2 linked regions of the Tamandua tetradactyla genome follow. The protein of the gene in region 2 purifies or fractionates together with the protein of the main gene of each other region. This does not show direct contact. Links are inferred from orthologs where the notes say so. Each region holds a gene or a part of one and is shown on either strand. Other genes may lie near its edges.

Region 1 (6,880 bases), on a different chromosome or scaffold from region 2:
TATTGAAAAAGTGAAAAACAAAATCTATTTCCAATTTTAATCTCCTATCAAATTGTCAGACCAAAAAGAGCAGGGTCTTTCAACTCTCCAGCAGGACAGGCTCTCTAAATTCTACATCTATCACGAACCCTTTTCAGGAGATATTTTTAACAGACGAGATTAGGAAGAGACTGATGGGCAGGAAAGAGCCCTAGGACAGCCATAAACATTTAACTTTTGAACAAAATCAGCTCAGGCTTTGATCCAGAAGATATTAACGGTCCAAGTAAGGATTTTGTGGGTCTCTTCCTTTCCAAAACAGATCTTACTGAGAGTCAAGTTTGGGGGGGGGGGGGTGAGGGAACATAAATGCTGAAACAAATTTAAATATTTTCTGCATCAATGAGAATTACCATGATTATTTAGTGAGACCCAAGTTTATCATTTACATCAAATTAACCCGTGTTGAAAAGCATGAAATGTACATTTGAAATAGCGTTATATTACATCTTCAAATATCATCTGATACCAAAAGTGAGTTTTTCTAACTAAAGTGGTTTCTCTGAAACCATGATAATTTAGCTGCTTTATATCTTTTAGAAAGTAAATAAAACACTCTGTACCTGGTATCCATGTCACTGGACTTCACTTAAGATTTCTACCAATAATTGCAAAGTTATAAGCACTTTTATTAAATAATCTTTTCAATAGTTAGCTGTAAGTACAGTTGTGAAAATGTAATCTTTCCTGTTCTCCCCTGCTTTGGTAAACACACAAATTTGTTACAAAAATAATGCAAAAATGTATAAATTAATTCATTGTGAGTCTCTGAAATATGACCAACTCTCCCTCACCCATATTCAAAGTCAAAAAGAAAAAAGGTGGCTATTTAAAAACAGAAACTCGTTCCTGGTTTCCATCAAGTTCTTCCCCTAATTTTTCATCTCCAGCTAAAAAGTCTCGGTTGTGGGAAAAACAATTTGTAGAGTCCAACACTTACTTTCTTGAGGTGAGGTCAGTCCTGTCCCTTCAACCCCAAGCTCGGTGAAGATAGTGGCCACCTTCTTCTATACCCCCTGCTCTATCTAGAATTTAACATTTAGTAATTTAGTATGTGTTTTCCGGTTTACAGAGCAAGTCCGAGGGTGCCTCTATTATTTCCTCCTCTTTCCTCCTTGGTGCTGCCCCCCTTTTCTCTTACCACCCAAGCCAGGCGGCCCGGAATGCATCTTGCCCCCCAAGCCCCCTTTCCTCTTCCCTCCCTGGCTGGGCGGGCCCCCTTTCCTCTTGCCCCCAGGACCCTGTCGGCCCCCCTTTCTCTTGCCCTTTTGGTTCATTTTTCTCCTTTTGGCGGCTTCCTCCTGGTCCTCCTCCCTCATTTGCTTATTGGTGGCCCTTGTTACGTCCAGCTGAGGCTTCTTGCTGTTCATGACTCGCAATAGCTCTAACTGGTTTTTCTTCTCGGCTGCAAAGTCCCCAAAGAGGGGTTGAAACTTTCTCTTCTTACCGGAGCCCCGGGGCGCCTTCTCCTTGGGTAGGCGCTCCTGGAAGCGCCCCACAGAGGCGGTTGAGACCTTGGCCACCTGCATGGCGCGACCCAGCTCCTCCTTGCTCTGATGTCCAGTAGGGTGCAAGCCGGCCGCGCTGGGCAGTTGCGTCTTGTGCGCGCGGGCCAGGTTACGCAGCCGATTCAGCTCGTTCTTGGCCACCCGTTCCTTTTTGGCCTGAATCCGCTTGGCGAACTGATCCTCCAAAGGGTCGGCACCGCCGGGCACCTCGATCAGCCACTCCTTGGTGTCGTCGCGGGCGCGCTGGTAACCCCAGCGACGCCGCCACTGGCCGCTCACCTCGTCCCACACCAGATTTGTCTTCTTCTTGGGGCGGATGCCCTTGAGGCGCGCGAACTGCTGCCAGCGTGTAAGCGGCCGCGGCCGGGGCACCGGCTTCTCGCGCGGCAGGCGGGTGGTAGGATCGGGCAGCCGTGCCACCACAGCTTCCTCCACGCGCTCCGTGGGCAGCTGCCACAGCTGGTTGATGAGCAGCTGAGTGTTGTCTCGCGCTAGGGCCCGTAGTTCGGCCTCCAGCGTGGGTCCCACGCGCCGCAGACACGTAGGAGGGTTCCGGTCGGAGGCCAGCAGGTTACCCAGATCGAACTCCAGCTCCAGTTCCTTGTGCACCGTGATGCGCTGCAGTTTCTCTGCCTCATCCCGTTCCGCCTTTGCCAGCAGCTCCTCCACGCTTTGACCGTCCATAGCTCGGGCTCGTTTAACGTGCTCAGAACTACAGTTCAAGTTACTTTTCCGGCAGTGTCAGTTCTAAGCCGGGTAACGAAGCCACGTGCTGACGCTCAGACCCTCGATCCGGAAGAGAATGATTCACTTCCGGAGCCTCCGGAACCGACTCTCTGTCTACATTACCTTTTCTCCATAGGCCGGCAGGGGGCGGTGTTGGAAAGCCTGTGGGTTTAGAAGCCCCCCCCCTACCTCGGGCGTGCACCCGGATGTAGGCGGAGCTAGCGCGAAGAGCCCAGACTACAAGTTCCAGGGCCTGATTGAGGTCGAGGTTCCCAGAATGCAGCGGGGCCAGGAGGCGGGGCAGTTCCAGGGACGAATTATTGGGGTCGCAGCTTTAGGGGGTTTCCGGAGCCCCTGTGTTTCAAATTCACTGTACATGCCTTGTGAAGTTGTTTAGTGAAGCATCCCTAGTTGGGCTACAGAAATGATTTCACCACGGCCCTAATGGTGGGACCTAATGTGTGGGCGGGGAAAGGCATGTCCCAGACAAACGTGAAGTTGAGTGCTGGAGAAGGATCTGTTTGGTTTGGGAGCGAGCGAGTGTTGGTGCTTCAGAGGCCTGAAATCATGATCTCTCTTGGTCCGGGGCAAGACGAGCGTCGGGCACTGCAATTAGATTACTTGTGCGCTTATCCCGACTGAGCCATCTAAGGACATTTTAATCTTAGGCAATTTAACTTTCCTGGGCCTGTTTAAAAATATACAAAATGTAGAAAATAATAGTACCTATGGCTTGGGGCTTTTGTAAAGATGAGGGCGTTAATATACCCCAAGGGGGAGTTAGAATAGGGCCTGGGACGAAAGAGTGCTCAGTAACTGTTAGTTAAATTAATACCAGTTACTCTATTATGTTCATAACAGCTCTTTCACTTTCATAACAGCTAAATTGAAGACACCAGGTTCTTGAGTCAGACTGCTTAAGTCAGATGTGGGTTTACCATTTACTGTACCTACCTTGCACAGGTTATTTAGAGGAGTCAAATAGGTTGATAAATAGGAAACAGTTCTGGTACTTAGTAAGCACTCATGTTAGCTCTTGTTGGTATTAATCATATGCCAGTGATGAAACTCAGGTGAAATGACTTGTGCGAGGTCATGTACCTACGAAATGTGGGGGCAAGAGGTGTCTTAACCCAGCGTTAAGACTGCGGTGTCTACCAGGCTCTTGATACTCTGGTCTGCTCATCAGCAGCATAGCTTCACCTGGGAGCTTTGAGAGGCAGACTCGCAGGCCTGCCCCAGATGTACAGAATCAGAACCTTCGGTTTAACAAGCTCTCCAGGTGATCAGTATGTACATTCACGTTTAGGAGGCATTGCTGATTGTGGGGTTTACAGGTTTTGTTTTCCTTGATCAGGGGATTGGAAATAATGAAGTAGGGGTTATGCTGGAAGATTAGGCAGTAGAAATTAATATAAAAAGTTTAAGAGATAGACCTATAGCCTGGGGCCATATCCTCTCCTGTCTTGGAACAAAAGAGCTCCAGGCTCTGCAGTTTGCCTGCACCCTAATTCTGATTGTGTACTCAAGTTAGTCTCAGGCTCACTATCTTCAGCTGTTCTTGGTTCACTGATTTACCAAACATTTATGGAGCACATTTCATGCACCAGACATTGTATTAGACCCTCCTTTCTTCCTCTAATCTAAAATAATTGTAGTAGTTGCTGGGGTTTTTCTGAACCTGTGCCTTAGTGCTCATCACTAAGTCTTTACTACCAGTCACCTTAGGAGGCCAAGGTTAGGCCAAAGGCCATATTAGATAACTGCCTTGAATCTAAAAGCTTTTGTGGTTTGCCAGAGAAGAAGGTTGGAATGTTGATACAACTCCTGGTGCTGGCTTGGTTTATGATTCATTCATTTAGTTAGCAAACATCTAACTGAACAGCTACCATGTAACAGACACTAGATACAAGGTGGGTTGAGACCTTCTGGAACACCAGGAAAGAACACAGGTAATGAGAATTTTACAAAATAGTGTGATTGAGCTTCCAATAGATTGTGCACCTATGTAGGTTTTAGCTCCTCCATCAATCTCCTGGATTAAGAAGGAGGTGGACAGGTATTGAATAGTGTGAATCCTCACTGGATAAATGTTATTTGGTTAGGATTATACAGATGAACACTTAATTGTTCTTTAATTGTTTTATGTTTATTGGTTTTTCACAGTCCGAGAGTATTTTAATTTCCTTGTTGGTTGGAGACTGATATTTACTTTCACTTTGCTGAACTTAGTACTGGATACATAATAGGTACTCAATACATGATTGCTTGAAAGAAAAAAACGTTACAGATTTCTCTAAATTAAAAAGGTATTCCTGTTGGCTGTGTTAGATTCAGGGTAAGCAAAAGTAGTGAAGAATGGGGTTTGAATGAAAAATAAAATAAAATTGAGCCAAGTGGGTAAGTGATGGACCCCAGGCATTTGTATCATTCTCATGTTAGGCAAGACTGTGCAGTGTCAAGAAAAAAGAAAGCCTGCCAGGTATGTGCAGGCATGTGGATATGTTTAAACAGTCTGGCAAATGGCTGTACATGCTGTCTTTTCTCTTTGTTTTCTTTTTCTTCTTTTGGCCCACAGATCCCAAATCTGGTCCTCAGATCTCACTTCTTTTCTCTTAATACCTGCTCTGTGTGCCATTTCATCCACTTGCATGATGTCAGCTGCTGCTTTTGTGCAGATGGTTCTCAGTAGTACAGATTTGATCCTTTCCGTCCACTCGGCTCTTCCACCATACTGTGTCTAAAACTAAATAATATATCATCTTCCCTCAAATTTATTTCTTCTTTCATTCCATTCATCCATCCATCCACCCACCCACTCTTTTTTCAACAAATGTTTGTTGAAGTTCCTTGAAGCCTGGAGCACTGTGTCAGGCGATGAGAAATCCGGTGTTAATAAAAACAGGCTCAACTGATGTTATCATCATTCCAGTCTAGTAACTGGGACTTGAAACTATAAAGTCATTCTTGACTTTTCTTTTTCCATTTCCAAATCCAATCATTCTAAAAGTCCAGCTGAATTTGTCTCTGTATTCCATCCCCCCCATCAGGATTGGACTGGATCTCTTCCTTTGTTTCTCCAGATCCTGTCTCTACTCTGTTCTGTACCCCTGACTTCCACTGGGTTTGGCCAGTGGGAAGCTTTGCAAAGCATCAGAGGATGTGAAGAGAGTGAGGTCAGGGTACAAATGCCCCCAGCCCTCTGCAGATTGCCTTGGGGTGGCTGGTGCCTCTAAAAGGTCACAGCTTTCTTTGGGCAGCCTTCTTGCCAGCCTAGGATTGCTTATATCTCTCTGCCCTTTAAGGATTACTCTTTGTGGGTCTCCTTAAACCTTGCGCCTGTCTTTATAAATATTTCCTTTGCTAGTATGTCTTAAATTACCCAGTTTGGTGGCAATTTATGACCCTGCCAGGAACCTGAGGAGTATCCCAGGAACACCCTAACAGGTTTCTTGTCTCCATTCTCTCTTCAGGTCAGTCCTTAAGATTTGTTCCACAGATCTGACCAAACCACCTTTCTCCTCCCTTGTCTAGCTAACACACAATGCTTGTTCTTGGACTTGGCAAGGCTGTTCATGATCAGACCCAACAACTCTTTGCTTGTGTGTCCTGATATTTTTCCTTATGCTTGTCCAAATATTTCTTCCCCAATTTTCTTTCCCATCTTACCTGTCTTTCCAGAGCATTAAGAAAGGTAAAAATGAGACACAGAATAAAAAAAGCAGCATTGTATTCTTGTAGCAACTATTGAGAAATTTTTCATTGACAAAAGTGAACCTGTGGGATGCTTCTTCCTCCCCAGGGACAAGAAGGTTCAAGATCGAGGGCAAGTAATTCCTTTCATGCTCCCTCAAAACACAGTTACTTTGGTCAGTAAAATTTTTGTATGAAATTTCTTTCTTCATTTTTTTGATACTGCATTATCTTAGATTTGCTTTCCAGTCGTTTCTCAGTTGCCTCTTTTTGGCAGCGGAAATTGTCAGGGGATTGACTCAACCATTCTTTAATTCTGCTGAGAACATAGTTATTTTGAGTATTTTTGTCTATGAAATTCATTGTGCCAGTAATTTGATAAAATAGCAAAAAAATGGCCCTTAAAGTACGTGCATTATTTCTACATGGTTCATTTTTACTAATTTATAATTTTGATTTGAAAGTACTTGAAGGGAAAATTTAATTTTGAAAACTTCTCAATCATAGACATTGTAAGAGTTATGTATTCATGTACTTCAGTTTTCATCAGAAACCTGTACTAAAAGTCCGTGATTTTATTTTAAAAAGGGACAAAGACGATATAGCATTAAGAGTTGTGCAGTTAGTGTAGAAGCAGGCAAAATAATGTCTAAACATTGTATGTTTGCCTGCAAAGAACTTTGGATTTCAGAATCGTAAGATTGATGGTAGTCTTTTAGAACTGATTTAAGTTGTTTCACTCTCTGTAAAATTTTCAGCAGTAATTGTTTTCAAAAATTGTTTAAATTTTTTTTGAAATGTAACTTAAACATTTCAAAACTGTTAAATTTGCCAATATTATCGTTATCTGTAAGGCAGGCAAGCATGAAATATCATCACCAAGCCCTGAGGTAATAAGATTGTTGTTAGACTTC
Region 2 (7,851 bases):
ATTCCCCTTTGTAAAAGCCATTCCGTTTCTGGTATATTGCATTCCAGCAGCTAGCAAACTAAAACAACCATCAAATGGAAAGCGCAGAACTCCTAAGGTTGACAGGTGGTGTTTCCATGTCAGGCCTCCATGCTTGGATGCCCACACAACAACAGAAGCATGTCACTGGTGAATTCATCCTTTGGGCTTGGCTGAAAGGCCATTCCCTGAGAAAAACTCTTCCCAAGCCCCACCCACTGAGATGTGCTGCCCCTGCCAGCACCCCCCGTAAGCATCTCTGCACCAAGTGCACAGTGAACACAGACACATGGCTCCCAAGATGATTTCAGCTTATCACCAGAAGCTCAGGCCAGGGCCAGGCTTGTCCTGCCAATGGCTCCAGTCCCAGATGTGGTCCTAGCACAACGGCATCTGCTGGACACTCAGATGATTCATTCCTTTGACCTTCACACCGTATCCTGAACACCCAGGTAATGTGGAGCCTGCCTCTGACCTGCCAAGGTGCCACCTTCAGGTGAGACACCGCCGGCTCCTGGTCCTCCTTGCGTGAGGGACAATCATATGGGCCAGTACCCCATGCCCACCCTCTACCCCTTCCCACTGCCCGCAGATGGCTGCACGAGGCTTGGGGGGCTTCCCTCACTTGTTCCAAACCAGCCAACCCACAAGGAATAAGACCTGGTGTCCATCTCGTGTCTCTCCGGCTCTGGCATTCATTCACCCCACAGATCTACTGTGCCTACTAAGTGCTGTGCTTGTGCCGGAACCTGAAGACACAGGGCTGAGCACGAGACAGCCCTGCTTCCGTGATGTCCGCATGCTAGGGGAGAACAAGTAACAGCAGATTACAACCAAAGTGAAAGCAAATACCGTCAGGTAAGGCGATGGCAAGTCTGCAGGGGTACCGGCCTCAGGGTGTGATGTCGCTGTAACTGTTCTCAGGGGTGAGGGGTGACAGGGGCCAGGCTGTGGCCCTGAGAGCTGATTCTGGCTGCAGAGGAGGCCACGGGTACCACTGGGGAAAGAAACTCCAAATACTTACTCTGTTGGCGGGGTTGCAGCTGCCTCCTTGGCTTTCCGCTTATGTTTGATAAGCACTCGCTTCACAGAAATGGCTCCATTTGCCTTTTTCCTGGTTGCCTCCTCCTTGTGCTCTACTCTGATGGCCTCTGCAGGAAGTGCTGGCCTCTTCGTGTCTGTCAGAACTCCAGAAGGTGTGGAGTTCCTGGGGGCCCTGCGGTCTGGTTTTGCTGTGGGCCCTGGCTGTGTTTCATCTTCACCTGAGACTTCCTTTCTGTTTTGCCAGTTAATTTTGGGCTGCTTTTTGGAGCCCATCTGAGGGGTAACAGGAAGCTTTTCTGGGGTTTGTGGTTTTTGTTTCAGCAACTAAGGGATCAAAAATAAAATGAATGCCATTTTTTAATTTGGAAAGTAAGTAAGCATAGAAGATTAAAAAAATTTATGTGTATGTGTCTCTAATAGATACAACCACACATCAATCACATCTATGTAAACTTCCTACCACCATCCCTGAAATATATTTTCAGGTGGGTTGGGAAAGCCCCTTCTCATTCTTGCCCATAACACAGCATTCTTGTGAATGCTGTTCCCCTGCTTATTCCACTGCCTTGCATAAGCTGACATTCGCTCCCTTGTTTAGGCCAATACACCACCCTGAAGTACCTGTCGATCACTGGACACTGCAGACCAATTTGCTCTGAGCCTGCAGAAACATTAGGCAACCTGATACCATTTTCTAAAAAATGTATTTAACTTATCGCATAAGTTATTTCTAAGTCAGAAATGACTGGGTGTCAATATGTTGGCATACAGCAACCAGCTTCTTTACAAACTTTTTGGTTTGCTGTTGTGAGGGTCCCAGGAAGAGGAACAGCTCTTGTCAAACTGGAGATGGCTGAAGAATCCCAGCAGTCTTGGTTCTGCCTCATCCCAAGAGGGGATCCAAGGTCTCTGAGCCCATCTACCTCTCCATGCTCACGTCCCCACATGGCAGTTCTCAACCAGTGAAGACCCTGCTGTGGAGCAACCAGCTGAGAGAGGGTAAGCTGAGTTCCACTTACCTGTGTCCATAATATCTAGAGAACTAAAGGACTTACATACTCTCACAAGGAATTCAAGATTTCCCCTAAGCACACATCCCTCTCATGCACTGAATTCTGATGTACCTTCTTGGGAGAAAGAGGTAGTATTACAGCTAGTGTTCAAGACATTACGCAGAACCCCGGGATTCCCCAGGGGAATTCAACTCTGTTTGAACATGATCTAGTCCTCTGTGTCGGGGTAGGAAAACCCCTACAAACCACTGCCCTTAGGACAGCGTGCCGGGTGTTAAGAGGCTCAGGAGGTTCTCTACTTTCTCTCTCTCACTCAGAGGCCCCACAGTGGACTCCAGAAAACTGCAGAGGAGACTCTGAAAGTCAACAATGCGCAGCAGCAAAAAGCATCAACCCATTTCAGAACGTGTGACTTTGGGCCCACACCAGTCTTTCCCTTTCTAGTGTGTGCTGCGTGACTGAACAGCGAGCCCCGGGGGAAATGAGCTTCCCTTGTCCTCGCCACTGGCTCTGGCAGGGCCCTCTCAAGTCCTACCTCTTGCAGCGCTTTCCAATTTTGAGAAAAGTCTTCTGGTGCCTTTGGAGGTCGCACCGCGACCACTCTGGACTCGTTTTCCGGCTTCTTGCTGACTTCTTGTGCTTTTTTTTTCCAGAATTTTTTCCTCTTGTTTTTCTTTCGATTTCGCTTCTTGACACTCTCTGGTTTCGCCTCGGGGCTGCTCGGGGCGCGATTGGAAGTCGGGGCCTTCGCCTTCGCCATCCCGGCACTACCCAAGGTCCCGGGGGCCCGACACTGAACGGCGGCGTCCGGCCGCCCCCCGCGCGCCCCCGGAAAGCGTATTCCCTCTCTTTAGTCTCCCGGCCGCGACGTGTCCTCAGCCAAAACAGAGACGGCCCCGGAGCCGGCCTATCCCCGCCGAAAGCACGTTTCTGCAGACCAACCCGGCTGTCACTGGGCAGGAACCCGAGCTCCGGGTCCCGGACAGGCCGCCGTAAGCGCTCCGCGCATGCGCGCGCCAGGCTCCGGAAGTGCTTCCCCCTTTCCCGCCGGCTGGAAACTGGGCTGCCGCCTCCGGTTCCGCGTTGGCCCGCACGGGAATAGGGCGTTCCCCAGAGAGCACCGCAGGGTGGGCGGTCGAGGGTCGGGTTTGGGGGCTCCCGGGATCCTGCATCGAGCCGGGAGTGGGGAGAGAAGCGCGGCTGGGAGCCTGGTCGGTGTAGCCCGCCGGCCGAGCGTGGAAGGGGGGCCTGGCGGCGCGTGTCCCCGGACCCTCGGCTTCGGGGCGAGAGGGGCGTGCTGCGGCCCCGACGGGCGGGAGTCCGCTTTGGCCCCCGCGAGCGCGTTTGCCTTCGCGACCCAGGGCTGCGGAGGACGGCCGGCAGCACCCCAGAGAGCGGCGAAGGGGGTGGTGAAGCGCGGGCTGCGGGCTGGGCCCCGGCCTGGCCCCGAGGGCCCCGACGTCGACGTCCGAGTGGGCGAAGGGGCTGCAGACGCCGACGAGAAATGGGCGGACGAGTGGACGAGCTCCCTTTGGATGGAGGTGACGCCAGTGAAGGCGGCGAACATGCCGTTTCGTGGTGGACCTAGACCCGGGGCAAGGCTGCCGGTGTGGGGCGCCCAGCTGTCTATGAGCCTCAGAAAAACCACAGTTTTGGCCGTGGGACGATGTCCCATGCCATAGATATCTGCGATTTTTGGAGCATAATTGTGCTAAAAATTTTACTTGTTTATCTGAAATTCACGTTTAATTGGGTGTCCTGTGTTTTTCCGGTGGAGGGGCACTTGGACGGAGGCAGGAGGGAAGGCCTCCTTGAGGACACATTGAGCTGAAACCCGAACGCGGAGATCCGAGGATGGAGCAGACAGCTAAGTACTGGCATAGGTGGGAATGAGTCGGTCGTGTGGGAGGGATGGAGAGAAAGCTGGTGTGGTTAAGCTCTGCTGGCAGAAGGGAGGGAGTGGAGGAGTGCAGGTACAGCCAGAGGGGTGTGCAGGGGCCAGGCCACCGTTGTGGAGCCTCGTGGGCTGCAGAAAAGAGTTTGGATGTTTTTGTTTAATGGTGAAGGAAGCCGTCAATGATTTTAAGCGTGAGAGGGTCATGATACAAGTGTTTAAAAGGTCATTTCGGCTTCTGTAGGAGGAATGGGATGCGGGAGGGAAGTGAGGAAGAAAGTAGGGAGACCATTTAGGAGATGATTACAGGTGGCCGTGCCAGAGATGGTGTGGCTTGGATTAGGTCTCCAGGAAGCAATTGCAGGGATGGAACAAGGACTGCAAAGCATTTATTACGGGCTGTGAAAGGTAAATGGGAAGATGCCAGAGGGCAGGGGAAGCCTTTCAGATAATGATGCAGATCTGCTGCCTGAGAAAGGGAAATGGGAAAGAAGCTGGAATAAGCAAGGGGGGTTCTCAGACTGCAGTGCAGATCTGACTGAGTACCGGCCAACCCAATGGAGAGCTCTGGAGCCAAGACTGCCTAATACAGGAATCTCCCCATGGGCAGAAGTGGGTTAGGGTTAAGGTTAGAGTTGTCGGAACCTAGCAGCCCCTTTGTGTTCAGTCCTTGGCCAGTGGCTTTTTAATTTTATTTATTTATTTATTATTTTTTTAATACAAAAAAAGACACCAATTAAACACAAACATTCCTATTTTGATCATTCCATTCTACATATATAATCAGTAATTCACAATATCATCACATAGTTGCATATTCATCATCATGATCATTTCTTAGAACATTTGCATCAATTCAGAAAAAGAAATAAAGACAACAGAAAAAAATAAAATGAAAACAAAAATATATATATGTACATATCATACCCCTTACCCCTCCCTTTCATTGATCACTAGCATTTCAAACTAAATTTATTTTCACATTTGTTTCCCCTATTATTTATTTTTATTCCATATGTTCTACTCGTCTGTTGACAAGGTGGATAAAAGGAGCATCAGACACAAGGTTTTCACAATCACACAGTCACATTGTGAAAGCTATATCATCCTCAAGAAACATGGCTACTGGGACACAGCTCTACACTTTCAGGCAGTTCCCTCCAGCCTCTCTGTTACATCTTGAATAACAAGGTGATATGTACTTAATGTGTAAGAATACCTCCAGGATAACTTCTCTACTCTGTTTGGAATCTCTCAGCCATTGACGCTCTGTCTCATTTCACTCTTCCCCCTTTTGGTCGAGAAGGTTTTTCTCAATCCCTTGATCCTGAGTCTTAACTCATTCTAGGATTTCTGTCCCATGTTGCCAGGAAGGTCCACACTCCTGGGAGTCATGTCCCATGTAGACAGGGGGAGGGTGGTGAGTTTGCTTGTTGTGTTGGCTGAGAGAGAGAGTTGGCCAGTGACTTTAAGGAAGAGAGTGCTCTTAGCCTAAATTGTGGAGCGGATGGAGTGGGTGCTGCTGCTGGAGGCCATTGGCTGTCTGCAACTTTTCTCACTTGAAAGCCAAGTTCTTTCTTGAAGGAAGATCTGAGCAGGATAATTCCACAGCTAACACTCATGAGCTGTGAAAAGAGAGCATAGACAGATTTGACCTGTGTGGTGGAGGCAGAGTTGGCAGGGAGTGAGAGGGGGATGGGACAACGTGGCTCCTACATTTTGGTCTGAGCAACTGGGTGTGGCCATTTATCAGCTCAATAAATGATCGAAGAAGGAGCAGGTGGTGCAGTGTGGGTGTGGAGCCATGAGTTCCTTTCTGACAAGTTAAGTTTGAACATTTATCAGTGCACAGATATGTCAAATCAGCAGTTGAACCTATGTTTTTTGACCTGTGTGTGGAGGTCAGTGCTGGAGATATAATCCAAGTCATCCATATAGAGTGGGGATGAAAACCACTAACCTGGGTTGGTTCACCTAGGGAGAGAGTACGTATACCAAAGAGAGAAGGGCAGGGGCCGAGGAGGAGAAGGAATAGCCAGTGCAGCAGGAAAAGAGCCGGGAATATGTGCCATCATGGAGCCCGAGGAGGGAAAGCAAACCACCTCCAGAACTGCCAAAATGTTGACACCACAGGTGGTGGCTGCATATGGCCACAAGATTATTACAGACTGTAATGGATTAAATTGTGTCCCCCAAAAGAACATGTTTAAGTCCTAACCTCTGGTGCCTGTGAGTGTGACCTTGTTTGGAAATAAGGTCTTTGCACATGTCATCAGGTTAAGATGATCATGTGGGATTCAGGTGAATCCTAATGTAATCCTCTAATGACTGGCATCTTGATAAGAGGAAAGAGAGGGGTATTCAGACAGACCCAAAGGATGCCCAGCGGGAAGAAGGCTGTGTGACGACAGAGGCAGAGGTTGGAGTGCTGCAGCTGTAAACTTAGGGATGCTAAGAATGGCTGGCCACCACCGAAGCTGAAAGAGGCCAAGGAGGAGACTCCCCTGCAGGTCTCAGAGGGAGCCCAGCCTGCTGATGCCTCGATTTCGGGCTTTGGTCTTGTATTAGTTTGCTAAAGCTGTCAGAATTCAATATACCGGAAACAGTGGCTTTGAAAGGTGAATTTATTATGTTGCAAGTTTGCAGTTCTAAGGCTGTGCAAATGTCCAAATGAAAGCACCAAGAAGAGGTTACCTTCAGTCAAGAAAGGTTGATGCCATCCAGAACACCTGTCAGCTGGGAAAGCACACATTGAAGTCCACTAGCTTTTTCTCCCGGTTCCTTGTTTCATGAGGCTTCCCCAGGAGCATTCTCCTTCTTCATCTCCAAAGGTCTCTGGCTGTGAAGATCCTAAAGCTTTTTCCAAAATGGTTCCCTCTTAACAGTCTCCAGTAAGTAACCCCACCTTGAATTGGTAGAGACACATCTTCAGTGAACTACCTAATCAAAAAACCCACCCACAGTTGGGTGGATCACATCTTCATGGAAACAACTTAATAAAAAGATGCCACCCAACAGCATTGAATGAGGATTAAAGAACATGGCTTTTCTGGGGTACACAACAGTTTCAAACCAGCACTGATCTCCAGAACTGTCAGAGAATAAACTGTTGTTTTCAGCCCCCCAGTCTGTGGTAATTTGTTACGGCAGCCCAGGGAAACTAAGACAATGACCTTAGTGAAAACAGTTCCCAGGGAGTGTGGGGATGGGTGGTGAGGAAGTGGAGGCAGTCACTTAAGACACCTTTTCCCAGTTTGTTGTTAAAGACGGTGAGGAATGGGGCTAAAGCAGGGGCATGGGATGGGTCAGGGGAAGGCTGTGGGTTTTGATCAAGAGACCCCAGAATGTTAGGTTGTATACATGATGCTAGAATGGAAGTTAACAGCAACAAAAAAAACTTGTGGAATTGCACAAGACAGACAGTGAACCCTGTGCAAAACCTTGGACCGTAGTTAATTATAAAAATGTGCTTTCATCAATTGTGATAAATGTATCAGCTAATGCAAGGTGTAAATAATAGGGTGGTGTATGGGAATCCTGTATTTTCTGCATGATTGTTCTGTAAACTCACAACTTCTCTAATAAAAAAAAAAAGCCATTAGAAGCGAAAACAATCTGTACAGTCTCTAAATTCCAAGGGGAGAAAAAGAATGCAAGCCAACCAATAAAAAATACAAAGGTACCATTATATATTAAAGTTAAGGGTCACTTCTCTGTCATGGTAAAGGTTTCATGATATTCTGTTACATTCATCTTCATTACACTTAGATAAGTCATCTGAGTATGGTTTGCAGATTGCTTAATGTATGCCCTTTTATTTTGGAATAGTGCTGACACCCTACTGAGAAAATTCTGTTCCTCAACACGCGCACAAGGAGATCC

What was found.
Region 1: the proteins of REXO4 (region 2) and RRS1 purify together in Homo sapiens (co-immunoprecipitation; 3 studies listed by BioGRID and IntAct, with this or other methods). This does not show direct contact. The link is inferred for Tamandua tetradactyla from reciprocal best matches to the Homo sapiens genes REXO4 and RRS1.

Annotation. Positions count from the first base shown.
Region 1 is NC_135332.1:109,968,939-109,975,818, reverse strand, and holds RRS1 (ribosome biogenesis regulatory protein homolog), read right to left. Parts: upstream 2,359-6,880; 5' UTR 2,232-2,358; coding exon 1,134-2,231; 3' UTR 652-1,133; downstream 1-651. UniProt on the Homo sapiens protein: Involved in ribosomal large subunit assembly. May regulate the localization of the 5S RNP/5S ribonucleoprotein particle to the nucleolus.
Region 2 is NC_135328.1:133,124,290-133,132,140, reverse strand, and holds the start of REXO4 (RNA exonuclease 4), read right to left. Parts: upstream 3,071-7,851; 5' UTR 2,836-3,070; coding exon 2,611-2,835; intron 1,387-2,610; coding exon 1,043-1,386; intron 1-1,042.